Linked DNA regions of Macaca fascicularis. The protein of the gene in region 7 interacts with the protein of the main gene of each other region in a pairwise test. Links are inferred from orthologs where the notes say so. Each region holds a gene or a part of one and is shown on either strand. Other genes may lie near its edges. The genes, in order: CCDC116, DTNB, EXOC7, SERTAD3, PARVG, CCDC146 and USHBP1.

Region 1 (4,100 bases), on a different chromosome or scaffold from region 7:
GCACCCAGACCTGCTTTGTCCTCTCTGTCCCTGACCTAGTGGGTAGCCAGAGCTGAGAGGACAGAGCAGAACTCGAGAGTAACAATATTTCATGAGGTATGTGAGGATTGAAAGCCTCATAGAGTCCTTCAACCATGCTCTTGGCATAACGACTGTTGTGTTTATAGTGACTGGTGAATTGTCAGACCTCAACCAACCACCATTCTCCACTGGAAGCTGATCTTGGAAAGGTCAGAGGTCCCGAGGGTGCGCAGATGGGAAGGAGGAGACTGACATTTATTGAGCACCTACTTGGTGCCAGACACTGAAAGTATTAAAGATTCAGGGTGACTTGCCTCAGTTCTGGCCCCAAAGGAGCACCATCTGGTAGACACATAAGTAGCAACATGGTATGGTGGAGTCTGGAATGGGGTTTACTGTGAATCGTGTACGGAGTGGCAGAATTCACAGTAAAAGCTTTTTGGAAGAAGTGACACTGTGGTGGGGTATTACTGAGCAAAAGAGAAAAGGAGGGAGGGAGAGGAGGTAAGAATATTCAAGGCTTCACTGGGATACGGGGTGTGTTGTAGGGAGATTGTATTGAATCCCATATTCCCATATTGGAAGAACACTCAAGCCCATTTAGAGTGCAGGACCAATGCTAAGAGAGGCTGAGTCACATTGGCAGGAAAGAGCAGAGCCAGGAACTGAAGCTAGGTCTGTGACTGAGAGCCAGCACTCTCTCCACTGCAGAGGGGAGAAGTCTCAAGGTAGAATCTGGGGCTGTGCACACCGCGGGAGGGGCAGAGGCCCCTGGAAAGGAACAGGAGCAGGAGGCCCAGGGCTGCGCAGCGACCAGGTAGGACACGAGGAAGGTGCTTGTATCACCGGTGGAAGACGTGGCTTTGGCTTTTAGACTCCCCTCGGGGCAGGAGCGGATCATAGAGCCTAGCCCCAGCTTCGGTGGTGGGTGGGGGTCCTCCCGGCAGCGGGGACGTAGACACCAACATCTTCACCCTGCGGCTCCCAGACGAGTGTGGGAGAGCAGAGTCCAGAGAATTGGAGGTTGGGCCAATGTGGGCCCCGCCCCCAACTATTGTGTCGGAGAGGGTAGTGGATGAGCTCCTCGGTAAGAACCAATGAGGATGTGGTATGCAAATAAGCAAGTGGAGGCCGCCAGTCGACTTCCTCGCACTGTATAGCTGTCCCAGTGAGGGCGCAGACTGTACTGGCCTGCGCGGAGCAAGGCGGTGTTTCTGGTGAGTCCGTTGATTCCGGGCTGGGGCGAAAGCCAGGTTGCCCAGGGTTTGGGAGTAGGGAGGGTTAAGCACACGCAGATCCAAAGATGATCGGAGACAGGATGGTCCTCGGCGATTCCATCCCGATGACTCTGGGAACTGCCTGCCTGCAGACGCATGAGGGCCATGGAGCAGAGGAAGGGCTGGATGCATGAAGGACACGGGGTGCGGGCAGCAAGGGAACCGCAGATTCCAGGGCCACAGATGTGTGGACCTATTGGAGACCCTCACGTTGTCTCCCCAGCCCACGCAGAGAGGAATGCGCAGCTGAAGAGAGAGGTGGGCAGCAGGCTCGGTCACCTGCCAGGTGACCACATGGCCAGGTGCCGCCACCACTCGGGCTACGTGGCTGACGATGAGGCCAGCCACTCCATGTGCAGTGCACGAGTAAGTGTGCCCAGTAGGACCCCGACCCTTAAGGCCACAACATGTTCCCCGCCAACCCTGACACCCAAGACCACAGCCCCCATTTCTCATTGTCTATTGACCTGCTCTGTGGGCCTCTTAGCTGAGTCCTTATTGCCTTGACTTCTCCTATGACTCCCCTGCTTGCCCCTGTCACACTCAATTTCATTCCTTGTTTCCTTCTGACTTCCAGCGACCTGGAAGGTGCTTGGGTGAACTGGGACCCTAGAGTGGGAACTGGGAGTTGACTAGGTGCCTAGGGCTCAAGTTGGAGAAACAGCCCTGGGTAGCACAGGGCTCAAGACCTCAGCTATTGTCTGCACTCAAGACCTCAGGTGTTGTTTGCAGCCCTGCCATGGAGACAGGGATGGCCTGCTGCATGGACAGATGAGGAGCTGGAGGGAGACTCCAAGAGGTTCATGATTGCTCATCCTGCCATGTATCAGGGCAGAAGCAGGCTAAGTCCCTTAGCCAGGACTTGTGTGTGTGAAATGTAGGTGTTAGGAAAGCTTCAGGGCGACCCTGAATAGACCTCCACTTTGCAGATAAGGAAATTGGACCTCAAGAGGGGCCATCTTGCACACTGTCATCAGGCTGTAGGTGGCAGAGCCAGGGTCCAAATCCAGGGCCTCCAGACTTCAAAATGCAGCTCCTTCCACTACTCACTCTCACTCAGGTCCTAGTGTTACCCTAGGAAGACCCCAGGGAGCCCTTCACCTGTAGGGCACCCATGCCCACTGTGACATACCTGTCTGCTCAGGTGCAGCTACCCAAGAAGCCACTGGTTCCAGAGATGGGGCCAGCCTCCAAGCCGGGCCATGTGCCACACCCACCATCCACATGTGGCAGCTCAGCGCTCCAGAACCAACGCCGAAACAAGAGGCACCCTCAGCCCTTTAGCCACTTTCTGGATTTCCTGACTGAGAGCCATGTCCTGGACAGCCTGGAGACAGTGGTGGAGAAGGCGACTGAGCGCATGGCTGCCATGAAGACCGAGGCTGGGGTGCCGCTTGTGGAGGTGCAGGACCCAGTGGAGGTGCCAAGTGGTGGGCGGCGGGCACATGCCCGGCCCAGCCTCAGCACTGTACACCGGCACCGTGTACGGCCGACCCTCTGCACTGGACACCCCAACAACTACCCATCCAGCTCCAGCTCCATGTCCGACTCCCATAGCAGCCTCATGGCTGGCTGGCTGGGCTCCCACAGCCGGGACAGTGACCTAGGTGCCCAAGGTTTAGGCTCACTGCCACCTGTGAAGGACAAACTCCTGCTGGAGAAGAATCTCAAGCGGCTGCTACAGCTGGAGAGGAAAGGGGTGAGAGCCGGGGCCATGGCTGGGTGGGGTGGACTCCCACGGAGAGCCCAGGGCCAGGGTCAGCCCTGGCTTGGCTGCTCCTGAACACTTCTCAGAGTCACCCTCTTTCTGCAGAAAGGCCTCAGTCAGTCCTGCTCCAAGAGGGACTCCCTGCTGTGGGATTTGCTGGGCAGCCAGACCAGCTTTCAGTGGACCCAGGAGCAGCCCCTGTCCTGGTTCTCGGAGCTGCTGGGCTCAAGCTCTGGTGTGCCTGAAGCATCAGAGCCGAGGCCTGGAGAACAGGAGCCGATCTGCAAACGAGAGTTCAATAAAGAGATCAAGTCGTTACTGAGCCAGCTGGAGTCCCTCGACCTGCCTGGCTACTGTCCGCTCCGTGAGCCCCATCGCACACTGAACTTCCTGGCTGACCACCGCCTCTTCCCTGCCCTGCAGAGCGTCGTCAACCAGGCTGTGGATAAGCTCCGCGGCGCCCGCTGCCGCGACGGCCGTCCTCTGTTCCCCACCAGCTTGGAGCCCCCCTCAGAGCTGCAGGTTCAACGCAATCTGCCGCCGCTGGGCTCTGAGCCGGCTAAACCCACCAACAGCGGGCAGCCCCACCCCACAGTCTCCAGCCCCAAGACGCCTCAGAGAAAACACAAGGACAGAGGAGGCTCCCCCTCCATGTCTAGTGCCCAGGTGGCCACCAGATTCAAGCTCAAGGTGACACCCATGGAGAAGCCCGATGTCCCCAGCCCCTCACTCCACTCCAGGGAGAAGGAGCCTGACTCAGATCCCAAATTACAAAACCCACCTGTTTCCCTGAGCTCCAGACAGAGGGCCCAGCCCTGGCGGGGCCTGCACCTCACCCTGCCCGCGCCCGGGATAGTGGTGGAGGTGGCCTGCGGCCAGGGCCACCTCAGGGTTGTCACACCTCCACTTGCCTGCCCCTACCCCCGCTCTTCCTGCTACCTTCTCCCTGAGCTCTCCCCAGTTACTTCCTCATCTCCCTCCTCACTGTGTCCAGAGGTGACCTCCTCGAAGGTAGGACCGGACATGAGTTTGCAGGAGAAAGGCTCCTTGACCCACCACTCCTAGCAGCCACTATCACTGGCAGGTGCTCAAGG
Region 2 (4,223 bases), on a different chromosome or scaffold from region 7:
CTCTTGCCCAGGCTTGGAGTACAGTGGCGCGATCTCGGCTCACTGAAACCTCTGCCTCCTAAGTTCAAGCGATTCTCCTGCCTCAGCCTCCCAAGTAGCTGGGATTACAGGTGTACACCACCACGCCCGGCTAATTTTTGTATTTTTAGTAGAGACAGAGTTCTGCCATGTTGGCCAGGCTGGTCTCGAACCCCTGACCTCAAGTGATCTGCCCGCCTCAGCCTCCCAAAATGCTAGGATTACAGGCGTGAGCCTCGACGCTCGGCCAAAAATGCTCATCTTTTGAGGAACCTATTTGTTCCCATTTAACAAAGTTGGTTATCAGCATTTCCTTCACCATAGGAGTTTAAAAATAAAAAGAGGAGAGGAGGAGGAAGAGGGTGTTCTAAAGGCAGGCAGGCAGGCAGCAGCAGGAGGTGGCACGATCTGCCTTACCATAAGGTGCCAAAAAACAGTGAAAACCATACTCCCAGCATGCAAGCCTGGGGTCGCTTAGCTCTGGAGCTTACAGCCTTCATCATTGACCAATAGCCCCTAAAGGACGTTGCTGTTTTGAGTCTTAAGTAACGTTGAGAAAAATGACCATTTGAACCATTTACAAAGTCCTTGCTACATCCTAATTTGGCACCATCTCCTGTATTTCACACAGTTTGGAAAGAATTCTATAAAAGATGGGTAACAGTAAAACACAAAAAAGCTGGTGCTTTGATGGTAAATCTGACTGCCCCTGGCTCCTTTGCCCAATCTGTTTTCCCAGCCCTAATGTCCTCCCTTTTTCCTCTTAGGACTTCTTTTTCTTCCTTCGAGGCTGACCATAAATGCCGCCTCTTCCAGGAAGCCCTCTGCGGCGTCCAAGCGGAAGTCATCTCTAGCTTCTGTGCCTTCCCACAGCATCGCACTGTGCCTTGGCTCTGCACAGGTCACCGGACTTGGTTGTGTACACGGCTGTTTTCCCCGCTAAGTTTGGGGAGCCTCGAGCCCAGGCGCTGTGACCGTGATCGTGCGCCCACAGGTACCTGGTGCGGCGCGGGGTGAACGCCGCGGCTGAGCGAGCTTGCGGAGTTCATGCGGGTCACTCGGGCAGAGGCTTGTGCCCTAGGCGCAGAGAATGATTCACGGGGTGGCTCTTTGCATTCTTTGCCCGGTAGTCACGTCGGGCCGGGCACCCTGCCGGCGGATACCAGCGGATGGAAAGGGACCGGGCCCGGCGCCAGAGAGCGGGAGAAGCCTGGATGGAGCCAGCTTCCCGCCTGCCCGGAACCGCGGGGGCGGGGTGAAGGGGTGCTCGGCCGCTCCCGCCCCCTCCTCTCGCGCAGAAGCCACGCCCCCGGTCGCGCGCTCGCGCTGGGCGCGCGCCCGCCCCTCCACCCTCCGCCCTCCGCCCTCCGCCCTCGCGCCCTCGCGCCGGGGGCGGGCGCTGCGCGTGCCGGGCGGGGAAGCTGTGCGAGCCAGGCGCTGCGAACGTTCGCCGCGGGGGCGGCTCCGGGGCCTGAGTGGGCGCCGCCGCTGCCTCAGCCGAGGGGGCCGGGCCGGAGCGTGAGGAGGAGTGAGGCCGCAGGAGACCTTCCCGACGCCCCCTGCTCCTGCAGGGAAGTGAGCAAGGTGGGGGTCTGCGGCCGCCGCCGGGGCTGCGGGGAGCAGAGTCGGGCTGGAGCCTCGCGCCCGCGAGGTGCGGGACGGGAGCCCGCGCTGCGCCGGGACTGGGGACCCGGGAGTCTGCGGGTGCGGCGCCGCGGGAGGCGGGGAGGGCGCGGGGAGCCGGGGCCACTGCACCGCGCGGGGCTGCGAGGTGGGACAGCGCAGTCGGCCGCGGAGGGACAGGCAGAGGGGATGCTGCGGAGCCCGGGCCGGGAGGGGTCTCGGGGTCCGGAACGCGCCGGGGCACGGGCGCGAGCTGGGGCGCGGCGCCGGGCTGATGCTGCCCGAGCCCGGCTCGCCTGGAGGCGGCTCTGCATTAGGTGCTGAAGGGGCGAGTGAGGCAGGTCCTGGCAGAGGGCAGGTGAGGCGGGCAGGCCCTGGCAGAGGGAAGGATATTTATTTCAGATCACCCCAAATCACTTTTTCCCGAGGTGCCTAATAGCGAACCTATCCGGGAGGTCACCCTGGTCAGGAAAGTGTCCCGAGAGGAGGATGCCGGTAACGAATACTTGCCCTTAAATTCCCGTGCCAGGCCTTGGGATTAGAAAGACCTTCCAGCTACTGTGGGTAGAGACCCGTAGTCAGCACTGGGGCCACGAAATAGTATGAAACACCCTCATGTTATTGAGGTGCTGGCAGTGTGACTGTGAAGATATGCACATAAAATACAAAAGAGCGTCCAATTTTATGTTTTATGCCGTATTCACTTTAGGTCTCTTTTGTCTTTTCCCAGTATTGGGAAATTGAAGCCATAATTTGCGTGATTTGGAGAAAAAGCGGAAAGGTCAAATAAGCCTATGGGAGAAATTTGGGAGAGTTTCGAAGGCTCCGACGAAGGCTCCTACGGGTACCATTTAAAGGGGGCTCTCAGAGGGGAAAAAAGACGTTTGGAAAGAAAGGAAGTTTCCTTCCTTCCCAACCAGAAATAAGCTCCATGACAATTCACTGCAAAGTCTTCAGAATGTTGCCTGTCTCACAGCGGTCGAGCCATAAATGTCTATTGCATGAATGAATGGACAAGCAAGATTTGGCCACATTTGCCATGGAGCAGTGTCAGTCACTCTAGTGTTAGGGAACGTTGCTAGATTTCCCCTGTTCCACAAGTTCTCTCTCTCTGCCTTTTTTTTTTTTTTTTTTTTTTTTTTGCCATGCCAGGCAACCCAGTTTCTAAGGTCTGGGCACGTTAAAGCAATGGCTAAGGCGGCGAGGTCTTGGTTTCTGTGGCCATACTACCACTTTCCCATGTGTCTTACATGTTGACCGTCAAGAGCTTGCTCCTTGGGCTGTTGCTTGAGATCATCCCATTTTGTTCCTTCTCCCATTGGCTTTTCCTGTCACTTGAGAAGGAAGAGGGTAGTGTTGTCTAGAAAACACTTTTTCATTTTCATCCTAGTTCTTGGATCTTAGACCTGTAGTGCGAGGCTATCGGTGCCTCTGCTTTTCTGTAAGGGCTAGAATCCTACCTGTCCTCTGCCTTGGTTGAATCTCTGAACTCTGGAGCTCCAGGCTGCTGTTTCAGTAACCTGGGTTGCAGTGCCTGTTGGGTTACTTTGTCTGCCAAATTAAAACTTGACCTTTTATGAGTTCTCTGAGGATTTTTATCATAATGCATAAGTGGAATTGCCTTTCAAAGGGGTTGTGCAGTCAAGGTAGTGCTGGCAGTTTTTGGATGTCCACTATGCCCGGGAGACAAATTTCTACCTATGGTTAGAAAATTAGACTCAGAACCAAGAGAATTTCAACTTATTGTTTTATTTTTTGTCTTTATATTACCCCAGGGCCTTAGTTTCTTCGTGTGAAAAATAAGAGTAATAATCAAAATCTGGCATTGTATAGGAAGTCTTGAATAAGTAAATTTATTTCTCCTGTTTGAATTATATGAGCATCAGAGCTGTGGCGTCTAGTTGTGTAGATTGTATACTGCCCAGCTTTAGGGAGCACCATTCACATTGGAGTCCCCGTGCCCGGCAGCTCCTGGAGTTGTGTAGTGCACACTCTGTGTGACTGTGTACAGCCAGCAGGTCTCTTGTTGAGAGGTGCGTAGGTTCTACAATATTGGGTGCCTTATTCCAGGCGCTCTCGATGATATTTTGTTTATATATTTATTTTAAAACCAACCTATTGATGTATAGTGGACACAATAAAATGTACAGATTTCCCATGTGTGGTTGGATGAGTTTTGGAAAAATGTGTACAGTGGTCCCCCCATTAGCCTCAGGGATATGTTCCAAGAGCACCAGTGGATGCCTGAAGCCACAGCTGATTCCAAACCCTATATAGACTGTTTTTTTCCCCTATACTTAAGCACCTATGATAAAGTTTTAACTTATAAATTAGGTACCATGAGAGATTAATGATTTCTGTTAGGCATATGTTTGGCTTCTCTGTGGCATATCCCAATTGCCAGCATCACTACTCTTGCACTTCGGGTTTATTATTAAGTAAAACAGTGGTTACTTGAACACAAGCACTGTGATACCATGACAGTCAATCTGATCATTGAGACAGCTACTAAGTGAGTAACCAGAGGGTGGCTTATGCAGTGTGGATATGCTGGACAAAGGAATGGTTCACATCCCAGGTGG
Region 3 (3,500 bases), on a different chromosome or scaffold from region 7:
ATTTTTATAAATGTATTTGTTGTTTCTTTATTTTGGTTAAAAATACATAATATAAATTTTTTTTTTTTTTGAGACGAAGTTTTGCTCTTGTTGCCCAAGCTGGAGTGCAATGGTGCGATCTCCCAAGCGATTCTCTTGCCTCGGCCTCCTGAGTAGCTGGGATTACAGGCGTGCGCCACCACTCCCGGCTAATTTTTTTTTTTTTTTTGTAGTTTTAGTAGAAACGGGGTTTCACCATGTTAGCCAGGCTGGTCACGAACTCCTAACCTCAGGTGATCCGCCTGCCTTGGCTTCCAAAGTGCTGGGATTATAGGCGTGAGCCACCGTGCCCGGCCAAAATATACTATTTTAACTCTAAGTTAACAGTGGCATTAAGTCCCTTCACAATGTTGTGTAGCCATCACCATTATTATCTCCACAAATATGTTCATCTTCCTCAAGTGAAACTCCACTCCCATCAAACACTAACTTCCCATTCTCCCTTCCTCTGTCTTCTGGTAACCACCATTCCACTTTCCGTTTCTGTGAATCTACTCTAGGAACTTGAATCTATGTGATTTTTTTTTTGCATTATATATTTTTAATTTTTTTTTTTTTTTTTTTTTTGAGACAGAGTCTTGCTCTGTCGCCCAGGCTGGGGTGCAGTGGCCAGATCTCAGCTCACTGCAAGCTCCGCCTCCCGGGTTTAGACCATTCTCCTGCCTCAGCCTCCCGAGTAGCTGGGACTACAGGCGCCCGCCACCTCGCCCGGCTAGTTTTTTGTATTTTTTAGTAGAGACGGGGTTTCACCGTGTTAGCCAGGATGGTCTCGATCTCCTGACCTCGTGATCCGCCCGTCTCGGCCTCCCAAAGTGCTGGGATTACAGGCTTGAGCCACCGCGCCCGGCCAATTTTTAATTTTTTTTTAAGAGACAGGATCTGGCTATGTCATCTAGGCCAGACTGCAGTGGCACAACCATAGCTACTGCAGCCTCGAACTCCTGGGCTCAGGCAATCCTCCCGCCTCAGCCTTCCGAGTAGCTGGGCCCACAGGCACGTGCCACCATGCCCAGCTAAGTTTTAAATCTTTTGGTAGAGAGGAGGTCTCCTGTGTTGCTCAGGCTGGTCTCAAACTACTGTCCTCAGGTGATCCTCCCACCTTGGCCTCTCAAAGTGTTGAGAGGGATTATGGGCATTAGCCACTGTACCTGCCTTCATTGTATCTTTGTGTTTAAGTTTTGGGGTCATTAGATCATCAGAGCAAGATAGTGGCTTGGCCTCTGGAAATCACAAATCTATTTTCTGTCTTTATGGATTTGCCTATTCTGAATTTCTGATATAAATGGTATCTTATAATACATGGCCTTTTTTGCTGGCCTCTTTCACTTAGCATGATGCTTTCAAGATCAGTCCATGCTATAGCGTGTATCAGTACTTCATTTCTTTTTCTTGCATATGCTATTCCTTTTTGTGGATAGACCACAGTTTCTTTTTTTGTTTTTTGTTTTGTTTTGTTTTGTTTTTTTGTATTTTGAGACGGAGTTACGCGCTTGTTGCCAAGGCTGGAGGGCGATAGCACAATCTTGGCTCATTGCAACCTCTGCCTCCTGGGATCAAGCGATTTTCCTATCCCAGTCTCCTAAGTAGCTGGGATTACAGGCACCCACCACCACACCCAGCTAATTTTTTATATTTTTAGTAGAGACAGGGTTTCACCATGTTGGCCAGGCTGGTCTTGAACTCCTGACCTCAGGTGATCCGCTTGCCTCAGCCTCCCAAAGTGCTGGGATTACAGGCGTGAGCCACCATGCCCAGCCAGACCACATTTTCTTTAGCCATTTATCCTTTGATGGACACTTGGGTTGTTTCCAATTTTTGTCTCTTGTGAGTAATGCTGCTATAAACCCTTTTATACACGTCATCGTGTGGACAGATTCATTCTCTTCTATGTTTGGGATACCTGTCTTTTATCAGATATGTAGTTTACAAATATTTTCTCTCATTCTGTGGGTTATCCTCACTTTGTTGATGTTATCATTTGCAGCACAGAAGTTTTCAATTTGATACTGTTCAAGTTATTTATTTATTCTCTTTTGCAAACCCCCCACTAACAAGAAGACACATTAACGGTGCAGTGAGAAAATAATCAGCCAGTATTTATTAAGCACCTACTTCTTGTAAAACCCTGGTTTTTACCTGTAAACACAAATTTTGAGAGAATATGAAGTAAAGGAGTCACCAAGGCCGCTTCCTGACATTTCTTCTTTGGGTTAAAGGATATCAGGGCAGGCCAGGTACGGTGGCTCATGCCTGATCCCAGCACTTTGGGAGGCTGAGGCAGGTGGATCACCTGAGGTCAGGAGATCAAGACCATCCTGGCCAACATGGTGAAACCCTATCTCTACTAAAAATACAAAAATTAGCTGGGTGTGGTGGCATGTGCCTGTAATCCCAGCTACTCGGGAGGCTAAGGCAGGAGAATTGCTTGAACCAGGGAGTTGGAGGTTGCAGTGAGCCAAGATTGTATCACTGCACTACTCCAGCCTGGCGGCAGAGCGAGACTCTGTCTCAAAAAAAAAAAAAAAAAAAAAAAGGGTATCAGGGCAGAAAAGGGCAGAGGCCCTGAGTTAGGAAGACCAAGCTGGCACAGGCAGGGGAAGGCCAGGACTGGCAGAGCACTGAAGCAGCAGGCACCCGCTTCCTTCTGTTGTCCCTGCAGAAACTGCTCTTTGAGCGCGGGAAGGAGGCCCTGGAGTCTGAATTCCGCAGCCTGATGACACGGCACAGTAAGGTCGTCTCACCTGTGCTCATCTTGGATCTGATCAGTGGTGATGATGATCTGGACGCCCAAGAGGATGTGACCCTGGAGCACCTGCCCGAGAGCGTGCTGCAGGATGTCATTCGCATTTCCCGCTGGCTGGTGGAATACGGCCGCAACCAAGGTAAGAGGTTCTGACTCGGCCACGTGGCACACTGGAGGCAGAGTGAGTTTTTTTTTTTTGAGATGGAGTCTTGCTCTGTTGCCCAGGCTGGAGTGCAATGGTGCAATCTCGGCTTGCTGCGGCCTCTGCAACCTCGGGTTCCAGCGGTTCTCCTGCCTCAGCCTCCTGAGTAGCTGGGATTACTGGCGCACGCCACCACACCTGGCTAAGTTTTGTATTGTTAGTAGAGATGGGGTTTTGCCATGTTGGCCAGGCTGGTCTTGAACTTCTGACCTCAGGTGATCCACCCACCTCAGCCTCCCAAAATGCTGGAATTACAGACGTGAGCCACCGTGCCCAGCTGCCTTTATTCTTTAATCCACTTGTCGTGGCTTTTTTGATAAAAGGATGTTTAACTGGAACCAATATAAGCAACCATTCTATGACTTATATATCAAGCTGTGAATCTAGGCAAATTCAAACTTTTCTTGTCTTGATTTTTATGTTCATTTGCCTTTTTTGATTAGTTGTAAAATTTTCAAATGGTACAGAAAGCCATGGGTGAAAAATAAAAGTCCATCTTCCACTTCCGCGATGCCT
Region 4 (3,961 bases), about 30 Mb from region 7:
GAAGTGCAGCCTGCAGCTGCTGGAGGGTGTTATGGATGAGGACATGCCTGCGGAGGCTGGGTGCTCGGGGGCCCAGGCTGCGCTGGACTTTGTCTAGGGAGATGCGGAGCAGGGCTTGCTGGTAGCTCTGAAGGCCTGCTGGACTCCACTCCCACCTCTCCTCCTCCTCTTCCAAATCAGAGTGTTTCCTCTTCAAGCCTCCCACCATGATGCCCTGTAGAGAGAAGAGGGGCATAGGGGCATGTCAGACACCAGACACCGTAGTGCTGGCTCAAATCCCACTTTTTCAGGCCTATTGAGTTGTTGGTGATTTTTAATCATCTGAATCTCGGTTTACTCATCTATAAAATGAAGGCTGTCTGAATCCTACAAGGTTAAGGAGGTGAATACATATGTGATTAAGAAAATAAGATCTGGACTTAAGTACAGCTAGATTTAAATCCCACTTACTTGCCTATTGTGGCCTCAAACAGTGAATTTACATCCATGAGAATCAATTTCCTCATCTGCCAAATACGGATCCTAACAAGTTCCTCTGAGCCTTAAAACTGTTCTTCCACAATATTAATTTCTTCAAACATGGAGCACGAAAGACAGGTGTGGAGCAGAGAGACCTGGATTGGAACTAGGGAACCCCAAATTTGATTTCTGTACTGGAAACTGCTCAGCTGCGTGATCGTGGGAAGTGACCTGAGTCAATTCTCAGGCCTCAGTTTCCTCATCTGTAAAATGGGGACTGTAAAAAAAATACTTCTCACCACCTCTGTCTAAGGAGATGCCACGTATCTATAGGGCCCACCACACAGGAAGTGCTTAATGAACCAGAGTTGTGTTTTTTTTTTTTTTTTTTTGAGACGGAGTCTCGCTCTGTCGCCCAGGCTGGAGTGCAGTGGCCGCATCTCAGCTCACTGCAAGCTCCGCCTCCCGGGTCTACGCCATTCTCCTGCCTCAGCCTCCCGAGTAGCTGGGACTACAGGCGCCCGCCACCTCACCCGGCTAGTTTTTTGTATTTTTTAGTAGAGACGGGGTTTCACCGTATTAGCCAGGCTGGTCTCGATCTCCTGACCTTGTGATCCGCCCGTCTCGGCCTCCCAAAGTGCTGGGATTACAGGCTTGAGCCACCGCGCCCGGCCGTGTTTGTTTTTTTTTGTTAGAGACAGGGTCTCGCTCTGTCGCCCGGGGCTGAGTGCAGCAGCGCTACCACAGCTCACCGAAGTCTCGAAGTCCCGGGCTCAAGCGATCCTCCCGCCTCAGCTCCTGAGTAGCTGATTACTCCTGAGTAGGGATTACTACCACACCCGGCCTCGATCAAGAGTTAATTGCCAGTTATACGCTCAACAGATTTACTGAGTGCCTACTATATTCGAACTTCCTGGGTCCCTGCTGGGGCACCTATGTTAAGATTCTTCTTTCACAGTCAGGATATTTCCATGTCCTCTTCCTTAACCAACTGGGAGCGCTCCCAAGAGTAGGAAAGGGGCCTCATTCCCTCTGCCCGCGCTTTCAGATTCCCCCAAAGCGCGCCCCACAGGAAAACTTGCTAGAACTCAGCTCAGACCAAGCCCCGCCCCCTAGGGGGGTCCCGCCCAATCAGACCTCGGCACTGCAAGGCCCCGCCCCTCCATGGGTCTTTAGAGAGCATCCAGGAACGCCCCAATTTGTCCCAGGGGCTTCTGGGAAACGGGGGCCAACAGCCGCCAGGTACACGAACCGACGTCGAGCACGCACTACAATCCCCAGAGGGCTCCGCCCGTCCAGGGGACGAGCCCCCCTCCCCCGACCCCGCTCTCCCTCAGGGCATGCGCACAGTGGCACAAGCGAGTGGGGGAAGGGAACCCGGACGTCCAGCTGCCGGCGCCCACCGAGCCCCGCCCTCCGTTGCCTCCGGGGCGGCGAGTCTGAGCTCCATGCCCGGAACACCCCTCCCCCACCCCTGACTCCGGCTCTAAATCTGCTTTCTCCCTGTCCCTCCGTGCCTTGAAAGTCCGGGATTCTCCTCCCAAACTGCCCTTGGATCCAGAGACCCAGATCCGAACACATCGCTCAAAGACGACAATGCTGCGATCTAGTTCGCGAGACTACGTATCCTAATTTTGATACTTCCTCCCACTTCCCCTATTCTCCTGACTTTCAAACGCCCCTGGACTACACCTCTAAACTCGCTGCCCGGCTCCAAGACCCGAACATTGAACTCTTCCCGGCATCCTCCCTTCCCCCGCCAGTGCGTCTTGGAGTCCAAGAATCCTTGACCCTAGCTCTCTCGCTTCTCCAAATACTCAGGATCTCAGCCCCAAACCTCTCACACCTTTTCCAGAACACGATAAAGCCCCGAATTCAACCCGTCCGGAAGACCCAAGTGGAATCGAATCTCCAGGTTCCCTGTCTCAAAAGTTCCTTCCCTCTGTTCTCTCGCTTCTCCAAACGCCCCACGCCCCACGTCCCAGCTTCAAACTCCCTCCACTTGAAAATACTGCCCCAACAACCTCGCATCCCCTCCTGGGTCTCGAACTCAGTCTCGGGCCCCCAGACCCTCCCTATCATCACCCTGAATCTGAGGCCCCCTCCCCCGGTCTCACCCAGACCCCGCCTCCGCAAGTCTCCGGGGCGCGCCTCTCCCTCCTCCAGCCTAAGGTAAATTCCCAAGCCAGGCGACCACTCCTCACCCCAGCTGCCAGGTTTGCCACGACCACCTCCTGGAACGCCCACAGCGTCGCGACCCGCCAGTGCCGGGACCCACCAGTGACCGGCCGGGGCCTCGCTCACCTCGGCAGGGCCTCTCCGTCTGGCTTCGGGCCCACCCAGCCCCGCCCCGGAGCCGAGCCGCGAGCCGCGATTGGCTGGAGTCCCGCCCGCCGCGGGGCGTCGATTGGCTGGGCGGAGCCATCCACCATTGCCCGGAGACGCCGGACCCGCCCACCCCTCCCTAGCGCCCCGGGCCATTTAAAGGAGTGCAACTGGCAGGGGGCGGGGCAGCGCCTCCAGGGGTGGAGGGCGGCTGGTCCAAGAGAACCGCTTCCTTCCACTGGGCTACGGTCCTCGCTCCAAGATCGTCACCACTACTCCCTGCAGTCCCTTTTTGCCAGGCCTGGACCCCACCGCGGAGCCAGAGGGGCTGGCATACCCTCTGGCTCCGGGAGGTCCAGGCAGGCGGGGCCGAACAACCGGAGGAGGTCGCGCCCCCGGGGTTCCGAGGGCGGACGCCGGGGCGGGGGATGACGTACCGAAAGGCCAGCCAATGGTGTGACGCGGCCCGCGTTGCCTAGGCGATCGCAGCCCCGCCCCCTTGCTGCGCTTCTCCCGCCCCCCGTACGTTACCCCGCGGCCCCTTCTTAATCCTCGAGTTTTCTCAACGCGTCCTCTGGTGGTCCTACCTGGGTCTCCTGACACCTCTCTTCTTCCCCGCTCCAACAAGATGACTCCTCCGCTGCTGTTCATGGCTTCCTACCCCTCCTCCCCGAAGACAAACTTCAAACCCCTTCCTTTTGCCACAAAGCCCCTCACGACCTTGCCTGATGCGCTCTCCTGGTTCTCTCCGATCCTGCCCCATTGAGTCACTTCCAGTTTTTCTAAAATGGCTTCAAGCTCCCATTCCCCCCATCACGAAAACGAAAGGATTTTGTCTGTTTGTTTTCTTCCCTGCCTTACCCCAGTGTCTACAATGCCAGGTACATAAGTTCTCAAACATGACAATAAAAGGCCTCTGGATCTTTATTATTTATTATTATTATTATTATTATTTTTTTTTTTTTTTGAGACGGAATCTTGCTCTGTCACCCAGGCGGGAGTGCAGTGGTGCAACCTCGGCTCACTGCAAGCTCCGCCTTCCGGGTTCACGCCATTCTCCTGCCTCAGCCTCCCGAGTAGCTGGGACTACAGGCGCCCGCCACCACGCCCGCCTATTTTTTTTGTATTTTTAGTAGAGATGGGGTTTCACCGTGTTAGCCAGGATGGTCTCGATCTC
Region 5 (3,500 bases), on a different chromosome or scaffold from region 7:
GGATGATTATGATTTCTGAGATTTACATTCTACCTGTTCCATCTTTATCTCTCCCTTGGTAAAATAATGGGTTTTAGAGACTCATGGCATGTGCAAAGGTGGTATTTAGAGACTGTTCAATAAAACGGGGTAAGGAAGTCCCTTGCATTCCAGTTGTATTACCAAGGAATAGCGGCGGAAAAGATTTCAGGCCCAAACTAATAACATCGAAACAGGCTTAATATGAGGAAATTCCATTAAGGGCTTCGAATGGCAGTTTCTTCCAATATCCCATCCTGTGTTTTGTATCTTTGAAGAGACTCAATACGATTATATTAACATATGATATGCTGGTGGCAGGGACGACAGCTTTATCTCTGAACATACAGAACAGACAGAAATATTAATGTGGCAGCCGGCGAGATGAGCCCGGTGTGCTGCTCTCTGCCTTTTCTGATGGAATAATTTTACACTTAACTCTATTTTCCCCTGTGTTTCTGTAGCTTGTGAAACAGCGTGCTGTTTAAAAACTGACATGAGGCTATTCTGCAGTAAGTTTAGAAAGCGCTTTTTTCACTGAGCAGGTATTGTGTACCAGGCAGCCCGAAACCACTTTTTACCTGCAACCCTGTGAGGTCAGGAATGTCTTCCCCACTTCTCACCAAGGAACCAGCGGCTCAGAGAACTTGTACGGCTTCCTTAGGGCCACACAGCCTGTAAAAGACACAGTGGGCTTCCCCAGACTTCTTCCGTATGACAGTCTTCAGTTCCTACCTTTGTAGTTTGCAGACGGGGTCATCTTACTCCTGCTGATTGGACAACTTGAAGGCTTCTTCCTGCACTTAAAGGAATTCTACCTCACTCCCAACTCTCCTGCGGAAATGGTAAGTTTTCCAAAGATTTTTCTTGATGGTCTACCTCTGGGTGAACAGATATACAGAACTGACATGACCAGTCTGTTTATTCACTTCCAGGTGACGTGAAGGGTGTAGGAGAAGCTTGTTTGTCTATATATCTGCCTGTCCATCCATCCATCCACCCATCCACCCACCCACCCAGACACCCACCCGTCTATCCACCCACCCACCCACCCAACAAACCAACCATCCATCCATCCATCCATCCATCCATCCATCCATCCATCCATCCATCCATCCATCCTTCCATCCATCTTTCCATCCATACATCCATCCACCCACCCACCCATCCATCCATCCACTCACCCACCCACCCACCCATCCACCCACCCACCCACCCATCCATCCATCCATCCATCCACCCACCCACCCACCCACCTATCCATCCATCCATCCACCCACCCACCCACCCACCTATCCATCCATCCACCCACCCACCCACACACCCACCCGTCTATCCACCCACCCACCCACCCATCTATCCATCCACCCACCCACCCAACAAACCAACCATCCATCCATCCATCCATCCATCCATCCATCCATCCATCCATCCATCCATCCATCCATCCTTCCATCCATACATCCATCCACCCACCCACCCATCCATCCATCCATCCATCTATCCACCCACCCACCCACCCACCCACCCACCCATCCATCCATCCACCCACCCACCCACCCACCCACCCATCCATCCATCCACCCACCCACCCACCCACCTATCCATCCATCCATCCATCCATCCACCCACCCACCCACACACCCACCCATCTATCCATCCACCCACCCACCCAACCAACCAACCAACCAACCATCCATTCATTCATCCATTCATCCATCCATCCATCCATCCATCCTTCTATCCATACATCCATCCATCCTTCCATCCATACATCCATCCATCCACCCATCCATCCATCCATCCACCCACCCACCTACCCATCCGTCCACCCCCCCACCCACCCACTCATCCATCCACCCCCCCACCCACCCACTCATCCATCCATCCCACCCACCCACTCATCCATCCGTCCCACCCACCCACCCACTCATCCATCTGTCCACCCACCCACCCACCCATCCATCTATCTATCCGTCCATCCATCATCTACCTATCTATCTATCCCCGTCTACCTATTATCCACCTACCCATCCACCTATTAGCCCTTCTGTTCACCTACCAAGCCACCCACCATCTATGCACACATCCATTTAACTGCCCACCTATCCATCCACCTACCTGCCTGTCCATGCACCTATCTTCCTGTTTATTCATCTACCCAGTCCATCCATCCATCCATCCACCCACCCACCTGCCTGCCTGTCTACCCACCCATAGGAAGTTGATCTATATGTCTGTCTGACCATCCATACATTCATCCATCCACTTGCCTACCTGTCCATTTACCTGCTTGTCGTTTCATGCATCCATCTGTCTGTCCTTCAGTCCATCTTTCTGTTCTGTTTATTGATCCACCCAATCTACCCATACACCTGCCTGCCCATCCACCCACCTGCTCACCCACCCATCCGCTACCCACACGTCTGTTCCCTCATTCCCTGAGGGCCTGTTTAGTGCCAGGCCCTGAGCTGTATGGGATGTTAAGATGATCCAGCACAGCTCCTGCTTTCAGGGACCTCTCAGTCTATGCCCACTGTTCTCCTGGTGACATGTGGTCTTGCAGGGCCACAGCAAAATGTGTTGGTTCAGATGCCTGGGTCAGAGGAGGGACCTGGAACAATGAGGGGTTAGAATAATCTCAAGGAGTCAAGAAGGGCATTGCATCAGAGGCGAGCTGGGAGGTTGGTTAGGGGTTGGTTTGCACAGTTACCGAGGAAGGGCTCGCAGAGGGGAGGGAATAGCGTCAACAAAGGCTCAGAGTGGGGCAAGAACAGGAATGGGTCAGGGAGGTGTCATTGCTTCACTCTGGCTAGAGGGGCTGGAAGGGTGGGGCCTGACCTGGGGGGGCTCAGCAGTTCCTGGACCCTAGAGGCTGGTGGACTGGCTTGGAGCTGGCTGCCTGCATCCAGGCACGAGGGCTGTGGCTTGACCTGAGGAAGAGGGACGGAGAGAGTGATGGAGGTGAGGTGGGAGGGCAGGTGAGCCTGCGAAGATGCAGCTCCCACCGCCTCTTCCCCAGGTACAGCCTTCAGTGCCCACTGGCTAGTCCTGCCTCCGCCCCCACCAGGCCCCTGTTGTGTGTGCTGCCACTTCCTCGAGCTCCCTGGGCTCTCACACCTCTGGGCTTTGGCACAGGCTGCTCCTCTGTCAGGAGTGCCCTTCCTACCCGGTAGGCCTGGCCCATGAGAAGGGATTTTACTACTTTCCAAATAAGGAAACAGAGGTCCACGGGGGGCCAAGGCTTACCCTGGGTCACTACCAGGCAAGAGGCCTGGGTCTTGTGCTTTTCACCACCAGCTCCCTGCCTGCCTGGACCTCAGGTTTTCTGTCTCTGAAAATGGGCTGACAATGCCTGCCCCCCACTCAGGCCACACAGGTAGTAAGAAAGAGTTTGGAGAACCATCGAGGAGAAAGCACTGAGGGACATGTGGTCCCTAGTGTCCCCAGCCTTGCCTCTCACAGGAGGTGACATTGGAGGC
Region 6 (2,515 bases), on a different chromosome or scaffold from region 7:
AAAGGATGAGGAAAGGAAGGAATGGGGTAGATTTGTTAATAGACACAAAATTACAGTGAAATAGGTGGAATAAGTCCTATGTTCTATACCACTGTAGGATGACTATAGGTAACAATAATATATAGTTTCAAACAGCTAGGAGGATACTGAATATTCCCAACACAAAGAAATGATAAAGTTTGAATGTATACGCTAATTACCCTGATCTGATCACTATACATTATATGTACTGAAACTTCACTATGTACCCCATGAGTAGGTACAATTATTATTAGTCAAAAAAGTAAAATGAAAAAAAATGCAAACAGCCATGACAAGTTTCACTACTTTACATAATTTAGATTTACCAAGATTAAGTGCTACTTCTTATTCGACAAAGTGAGTTATGCCTTTGCAATACTTGAGATATTTTCCTTTTCAAATAGCCATTGTTTCTTTTTAAAGTGTGTAGATTGAACGGTATTTGTTTTTTCTTTAATAAACAAAGACTACTCTGCCAATTTCTGTACTTCATTGAAAAGAGATTTATTTTTAGTGCATTTTTATAGCACCTTGCCAACTACAAATTTCTGGAATGTACTCAACATAAAGAGTGAAAAAGAAAATATAAGCAATTCAAATATATACTTTGACATATAAATGTAGGACAGTTCTGTGTCCTATTCAATGTCATGAAAGGTATAGTAGTTGGTAGGTAAAAAGAAACCATGTTGTACTCTGTTGTTGACTAATTGTGGTTACCTTACTTATCAATAAAATTGGAAGTATTATGCTCACATTTTTCACCTGTGGGTACAAGGAAGCCTGGTTGAAGTCCTCTCCTTGAGAGGCCTGGATTTGTTCACCTACTCAGATTTCAATTGGCTTTATAATAGGTTTCCTTATGTGCCTCATATTGGCTCCAGGTTCACTGGGTTTAAAAGGAGCCAAAGCACCATAAGGTTTTGGCAAAGGAAGAGTGGCCTCTGCTTCTGGGATGTAGGCATTTGGACGCTGCTCTGCAGTCGTGTAAACACCATTGGGCATCTGGCGATTATCTGCTTCCAAGAACTCCTGCAAAGAATGATTTTTCCTTTTCAGTTCTCTGAAAACGCTGGTGAAGTCACTTTATCCTTAGGTCCCAAAAGACGCAGCTGGCCTGGACAGTCTTTGACTGTGCTAGCTGATACTCCCCAAAGGGATGGGAGGAGTAGGAGGGTGGAATCACACCACACACACACACACACACACACACACACACACCCCCACCCACCCACCCACCCCTCATTGGAATGGGCTGTATTGCTTCAGCATCACATTATTCCTGGAGTTTAGGGTTTTTCAAAGACTGCTTCGTGGGTCCTAACTATGTTTCCACCTCAATATCTGTCATCAAGCACTAATTATTTCCCTGTTTTTGACAAAGGCAGAGCAACATATTTCCTTTGGTAAGTCATTGGTGAGCAAATATTACAATGGAAGAGATAGAGGAGTAAAGTGCAACCAGAGGAGGAAAACGGTCACCAGCTTGCTCTGAACCGCAACGTTTTCGAGATTTTGCCTGTGCCTCTGGAAAACAGAGTAATCACTTACTGCACTAAAAAGCCCTCTGATAAATGACAGTGGGACACCACAGGTAAAATCTGAATGCCCTAAAAGGAACAGTCCCAGGTGGTGCGGAAATTATAAATCATGTAATTTATACCTGTGCTCAGGTATTCCTAGTGTGTTTTGAATGCAGTTTTGTCTTGGGTTCAGGAGCAAATAGGGACCCTTTTGGTGACATCCACTGGACAGTTTGAGTGAGTTGTACATCTGGAGGATGTAGACTCCTTGGAAAGAGATGCCTAATTCCAGTCTAAGAATACTGACAGGTCATGGGGGTAGGCAGAAGATCTGGTATCTAACTTGCAGGGGGAGTCAGTGATAGACCTAGCCTTAGGCCAGAGGACTAAGGTGGGAAAATAAAGGGGGGCCGCTGAGGCCTATGATGTACATCGAGCATCTGCAGAAGGCATGGCAACTATAATGTGGGTGGAGGCCTCACTGTATGCTGTGGAGGCCACAGCAGATGAACATGGAACAGTCAGGTGTGGTCTGAGCAGAGGTGCCAAGACAGAGATTGGAGACTTAGAGACAAGACCGATGCCAGCCTGGTCGTCACTATGCTGGTGGAAGGCCATGATGTTCAGCCTCGGCAGCCCAGGATGTAAGGCTGTGGGGTGGGACCTGTGCTTGCTAAGTGTTCTTCAGTGAGTATTGTGGCACTCTGGATTACTGCACTTTGACTTATCTATAGAATATCTTTAAACACACTTCTGATGACTGTTGGGACTGTGTGTGGTAGAGTGGGGAAATTTTTCTTATACTGTGGGATGAATGACCCCCTGAAAGCAGCCCCTGCTGGCACCCTTTAGAAAAGCAATACAGGAGCCAAAGCCTACCTGAGACTTTTCAGCGAGGGCCAAGGCATGCATTTCTTCATCTCGAAGGACCTTCAACCATTCTTTCTCAATTTCCTTATTGAGTGGCAGAC
Region 7 (4,059 bases):
TTAAGAGCAGCCTGGCCAACATGGCAAAAACCCATCTCTAGCCGGGTGCAGTGGCTCACGCCTGTAATCCCAGCACTTTGGGAGGCCAAGGCCGGCGGATTACTTGAGGTCAGGAGTTCAAGACCAGCCTGGCCAACATGGTAAAACCCTGTCTCTACTAAAAACACAAAAATTAACCAGGCGTTGTGGTGGGCACTTGTAATCCCAGCTACTCGGCAGGCTGAGGCAGGAGAATTGCTTGAACCCAGGAGGTGGAGGATGCAATGAGATCGCACCGCTGCACTCCAACCTGGGCGACAGAGCGAGACTCCATCTCAAAAAAAAAAAAAAAAAAAAAAAAAAGAAGGTTGGGCGTGGTGGCTCACGCCTGTAATCCCAGCACTTTGGGAGGCCAAGGCAGGTGGATCACGAGGTCAGAAGATCGAGACCATCGTAGCTAACACGGCGAAACCCCGTCTCTACTAAAAATACAAAAAAATTAGGTGGGCGTGGTGGCGGGTGCCTGTAGTCCCAGCTACTCGGGAAGCTGAGGCAGGAGAATGGTATGAACCCGGGAGGCAAAGGTTGCAGTGAGCCAATATCGCACCACTGCACTCCAGCCTGGGCGACAGAGCGAGAAGAGAACTGTCAGCCCACAGTGAAGAGACAGGCAGAGAAGAAGAGTTCACAGGGGAGCCAAATAAAAGCCATATCAGCTCAGGGGAACATTCTAGCTCTTTTTTTTTTCTTTCTTTTTGAGACAGGGTGTTGCCTTGTTACCCAGACTGGAGTGCAGTGGCGTGACCATGGCTCACTGCAGCCTCAACTTCCAGGTGTTAAGCAATCCTCCCACCTCAGCCTCCCGAGTAGCTGGGACTACAGGCATATGACACCACTCCTGGCTAATTTTTATATTTTATGTAGAGACGGGGGTCTTGCCATGTTGCCCAGGCTTGTCTTAAACTCTTGGGCTCAAGCGATCTGCCTTCCTCAGCTTCCCAGAGTCCTGGGATTACAGGCGTGAGCCATGGTGCTCGGCCCATTCTAGATCTTGAGAAATAAAATCCAAGCGTCAGAGCTAGAAGGGCCATGGGCTTGGAGGCTGAGACGAGGAGGGGCTGAAACCTTGGGAGTCAGGTATGTGTGCCCCGCTAGGGCTGCAGGAAGCTGCTGTCCTCAAAAAGGAAACAACACAATAACAAGTCACATGACCAGGGGAGTGGGTTCCTGTTTCCTGGTCCCTCCCAGGCCAGGCTTGGCCAGCCCAGGCCTGACCAGGCAGTGGCCAGAGTGACCCCAAGACGGCGTCCAGGGACTCAGGCCTCTGATCAAGTTACCCCCAGAAGATCAGAGAGGTAGAGAGCTGAACCCGTCATTTAGGAGGGCCGCGGAGGAGAGGGAATTATTGAGATTGCATTTCCAGGCTCAAAGAGAGGAGGGAAGGGGACAAAGACGTAGTGAAGGTAAAGAAGGCAGAGAAGAAGGGGGAGATCCAGACAACCTTGTTAGGTAGTGAGCTGCCTGTCCAGGAGGCATTCAAATGTGCCCAATCAACATTGATCACAAAATCCCTTCCTGAGGGGTAGTCAATGTCCCATTTCACAGCAGAGGAAATTGAGGTTGTCCTTTGTCCAGGACAACAAAGGCAAGAGGTCATGGCAGGCTGTGGTTTTAGGGGTTGACGAAGGAGAAGCATTCAGAGAGCACTGGCTTCTGGACAGCAATGAGTGCCCGGGCCACGCGGCCCCGAAGCCGGCGAGGGAGGCATGCTCCACCCGTAAGTGTCGCCCTCTCCCCTCCACACCCAGCTCCTGGGGACCCCAAGGTCCCATCCTGCCTGGCTCAGAGCGGGGCCACGGGGGTCATTTGCAGGGTGAACTGGACCCCGTGGCTGAGAGTTCAGAGGAGATTGAGGCAGCCAGTGGGAGCTCCAAGCTCAGCTTTGCCCCACCTCCTGTGAGCTCCGGGCTGGAACAGCTGGGCCCCATGGAGGAGGTCAGTGGCCAAGGCCTAGGAAGCAGGTAAGACCCCCTTGGTCTGTGCCCTTCACTCCAGTCCACATGCATCTTTGCCATCTGCAGATCTGCTGATGTGCCCTCTCTGCTCACACACCTACCATAGCTCCCTGTTGCCTTCAGCCTGACTTTCTTTTCTTTTTTTTGAGTCTTGCTCTGTCACCCAGGCTGCAGTGCAGTGGCACAATCTCCACTCACAGCAATCTCTGCCTCCTGGGTTCAAGAGGGAGCCTCAGCTTCCCGAGTAGCTGGGATTACAGGTGTGTGCCACCACACCCAGCTAATTTTTGTATTTTTAGTGAGACAGGGTCTTGCCACGTTAGCCAGGCTGGTCTTGAACTCCTGACCTCAGGTGATCCCCCCACTTCGGCCTCCGAAAGTGCTGGGATTACAAGTGTGAGTCGCTGCCCCAGAAGACCCCATTTCCAGAATCTTCTGTCTCTCACCTTCAGGACTTTCCCACTGCCCGTCACAGTCCAACTTACTATTCACTCTGCTTCGTAGCCCCAGGTCTCCCCTCCAACTTCTCCACCACCTCTGTCCAGCCTCTTCCCTGAATTCCCAGCCTCCCAGTCTCTCCCTGGGATGCAAGTCCCAGAACACGCAGCTCTTGCCAACTCTGCCCCGCTCACACCTCCCGAAGACCATGAAGTTTAAGCCCTAAGAATTCCCTGCCCTGGGCTGAGCGTTGTGGCCCATGCCTGTTATCGCAGAACTTTGGGAGGCCAAGTCGGGCGAATCACCTGAGGTCAGGAGTTTGACATCAGCCTGGCCAACATGGTGAAACCCTGTCTCTACTAAAAATACAAAAATTAGCCGGGCGTGGTGGTGGGCACCTGTAATCCCAGCTACTTGGGGGACTGAGGCAGGAGAATCACTTGAACCCAGGAGGTGGAGGTTGCAGTCAGCTGAGATCGCACCACTGCACTCCAGCCTGGGCAACAGAGTGAGACTCTGTCTCAAAAAATAAAAAAGAATTCCCTGCCCAGCATGGAGCGACTCAAGTGCCTGAGTTGGTGTCCACAGGACCGACAAGAAGACGGATGGGGGCTCTGGCAGGGGACTGGCCTCAGCCCCCGAGGTGCCCCACAAACCTGCAGTGGAAGCCTACCAGGCCCCAGAAGCAGCCCTACAGTACAAGGAGACTGTGCCCCCTGGGATTGGGGCCCCCGATGTGTTTCAGACCCTCCAGCACGCTCTGAGCTCCCTGGAGGCAGCGGCTGCAGCCTGGCGCCACCGGCCCCCCAGCCATCCTGGGCCAATGGAGTTGGAAGACACAAGCAAAGGGGGACCAGGTCCCCTTGGGAAGCAGGAAGGGGCAGGGAGCAGCCAGCGAGAGGCAGCTCGCCTGGCTGAGAGGAATGCCTGGCTCCGGCTGGCCCTGAGTAGCCGAGAGGATGAGCTGGTCCGCACGCAGGCCTCCCTGGAGGCCATCCGAGCTGAGAAGGAGACGCTGCAGAAAGAGGTGAGTGGGGCCATCCTGAGTCCTATGTGGCTCTCTGTCTGAGGGAGGAGGCAGGCCCGATGTAGGCAATATTCATTCATCTGTTCATTCCAAAAACCTTTTGAGGCTGGGTGTGGTGGCTCACGCCTATAATCCCAGCACTTTGGGAGATGGAGGCAGGAGGATCCTTTGAGGCCAGGAGTTCAAGACCAGCCTGGGCAACACAGCAAGACCCCTACCTCTGCAAAAAATAAAAAATAAAAATCAGCCAGGTTGGCCAGGCACGGTGGCTCACACCTGTAATCCCAGCACTTTGGGAGGCTGAGGTGGGCGTATCACAAAGTCAGGAGTTCAAGACCAGCTTGGCCAACATGGTGAAACCCCATCTCTACTAAAAATAAAAATAAATAAATAAATAAAAGCCAGGTGTGGTGGCATATGCCTGTAATTCCAGCTACTCAGGAGGCTGAGGCAGGAGAATCACTTGAACCCGGGTGATGGAGGTGGCAGTGAGCTGAGATCACATCAATGTACTCCAGTCTGGAGAACAGAGTGAGACTCTGTCTAAAAAAAAAAAAAAAAAAAAAAAAAAAAATCAGCCAGGTTGGCTGGGTGCGGTGG

The links.
Region 1: the proteins of USHBP1 (region 7) and CCDC116 interact in binary tests that used the Homo sapiens proteins (3 or more experiments, as listed by UniProt). The two-hybrid records come from large-scale screens. The link is inferred for Macaca fascicularis from reciprocal best matches to the Homo sapiens genes USHBP1 and CCDC116.
Region 2: the proteins of USHBP1 (region 7) and DTNB interact in binary tests that used the Homo sapiens proteins (3 or more experiments, as listed by UniProt). The two-hybrid records come from large-scale screens. The link is inferred for Macaca fascicularis from reciprocal best matches to the Homo sapiens genes USHBP1 and DTNB.
Region 3: the proteins of USHBP1 (region 7) and EXOC7 interact in binary tests that used the Homo sapiens proteins (3 or more experiments, as listed by UniProt). The two-hybrid records come from large-scale screens. The link is inferred for Macaca fascicularis from reciprocal best matches to the Homo sapiens genes USHBP1 and EXOC7.
Region 4: the proteins of USHBP1 (region 7) and SERTAD3 interact in binary tests that used the Homo sapiens proteins (3 or more experiments, as listed by UniProt). The two-hybrid records come from large-scale screens. The link is inferred for Macaca fascicularis from reciprocal best matches to the Homo sapiens genes USHBP1 and SERTAD3.
Region 5: the proteins of USHBP1 (region 7) and PARVG interact in binary tests that used the Homo sapiens proteins (3 or more experiments, as listed by UniProt). The two-hybrid records come from large-scale screens. The link is inferred for Macaca fascicularis from reciprocal best matches to the Homo sapiens genes USHBP1 and PARVG.
Region 6: the proteins of USHBP1 (region 7) and CCDC146 interact in binary tests that used the Homo sapiens proteins (3 or more experiments, as listed by UniProt). The two-hybrid records come from large-scale screens. The link is inferred for Macaca fascicularis from reciprocal best matches to the Homo sapiens genes USHBP1 and CCDC146.

The regions. Positions count from the first base shown.
Region 1 is NC_088384.1:31,499,067-31,503,166, reverse strand, and holds the start of CCDC116 (coiled-coil domain-containing protein 116), read left to right. Parts: upstream 1-1,300; 5' UTR 1,301-1,394; coding exon 1,395-1,664; intron 1,665-2,442; coding exon 2,443-2,997; intron 2,998-3,111; coding exon 3,112-3,696; intron 3,697-4,100.
Region 2 is NC_088387.1:96,566,272-96,570,494, forward strand, and holds the start of DTNB (dystrobrevin beta), read left to right. Parts: upstream 1-1,423; 5' UTR 1,424-1,602; intron 1,603-4,223.
Region 3 is NC_088390.1:82,528,223-82,531,722, reverse strand, and holds part of EXOC7 (exocyst complex component 7), read left to right. Parts: intron 1-2,698; coding exon 2,699-2,921; intron 2,922-3,500. UniProt on the Homo sapiens protein: Component of the exocyst complex involved in the docking of exocytic vesicles with fusion sites on the plasma membrane.
Region 4 is NC_088393.1:47,545,587-47,549,547, forward strand, and holds the start of SERTAD3 (SERTA domain-containing protein 3), read right to left. Parts: upstream 2,801-3,961; 5' UTR 2,764-2,800; exon of another isoform or gene 2,577-2,763; intron 2,433-2,576; exon of another isoform or gene 2,306-2,432; intron 1,523-2,305; exon of another isoform or gene 1,212-1,522; intron 615-1,211; exon of another isoform or gene 451-614; intron 215-450; 5' UTR 209-214; coding exon 1-208.
Region 5 is NC_088384.1:7,370,835-7,374,334, reverse strand, and holds part of PARVG (gamma-parvin), read left to right. Parts: intron 1-761; coding exon 762-863; intron 864-953; coding exon of another isoform or gene 954-962; exon of another isoform or gene 963-1,067; intron 1,068-3,500. UniProt on the Homo sapiens protein: Plays a role with ILK in promoting the cell adhesion and spreading of leukocytes.
Region 6 is NC_088377.1:144,179,880-144,182,394, forward strand, and holds the end of CCDC146 (coiled-coil domain-containing protein 146), read right to left. Parts: coding exon 2,424-2,515; intron 1,054-2,423; coding exon 850-1,053; 3' UTR 501-849; downstream 1-500. UniProt on the Homo sapiens protein: Essential for sperm flagellum biogenesis and male fertility.
Region 7 is NC_088393.1:17,583,620-17,587,678, reverse strand, and holds the start of USHBP1 (harmonin-binding protein USHBP1), read left to right. Parts: upstream 1-1,259; 5' UTR 1,260-1,702; coding exon 1,703-1,756; intron 1,757-1,851; coding exon 1,852-2,000; intron 2,001-2,301; exon of another isoform or gene 2,302-3,020; coding exon 3,021-3,459; intron 3,460-4,059.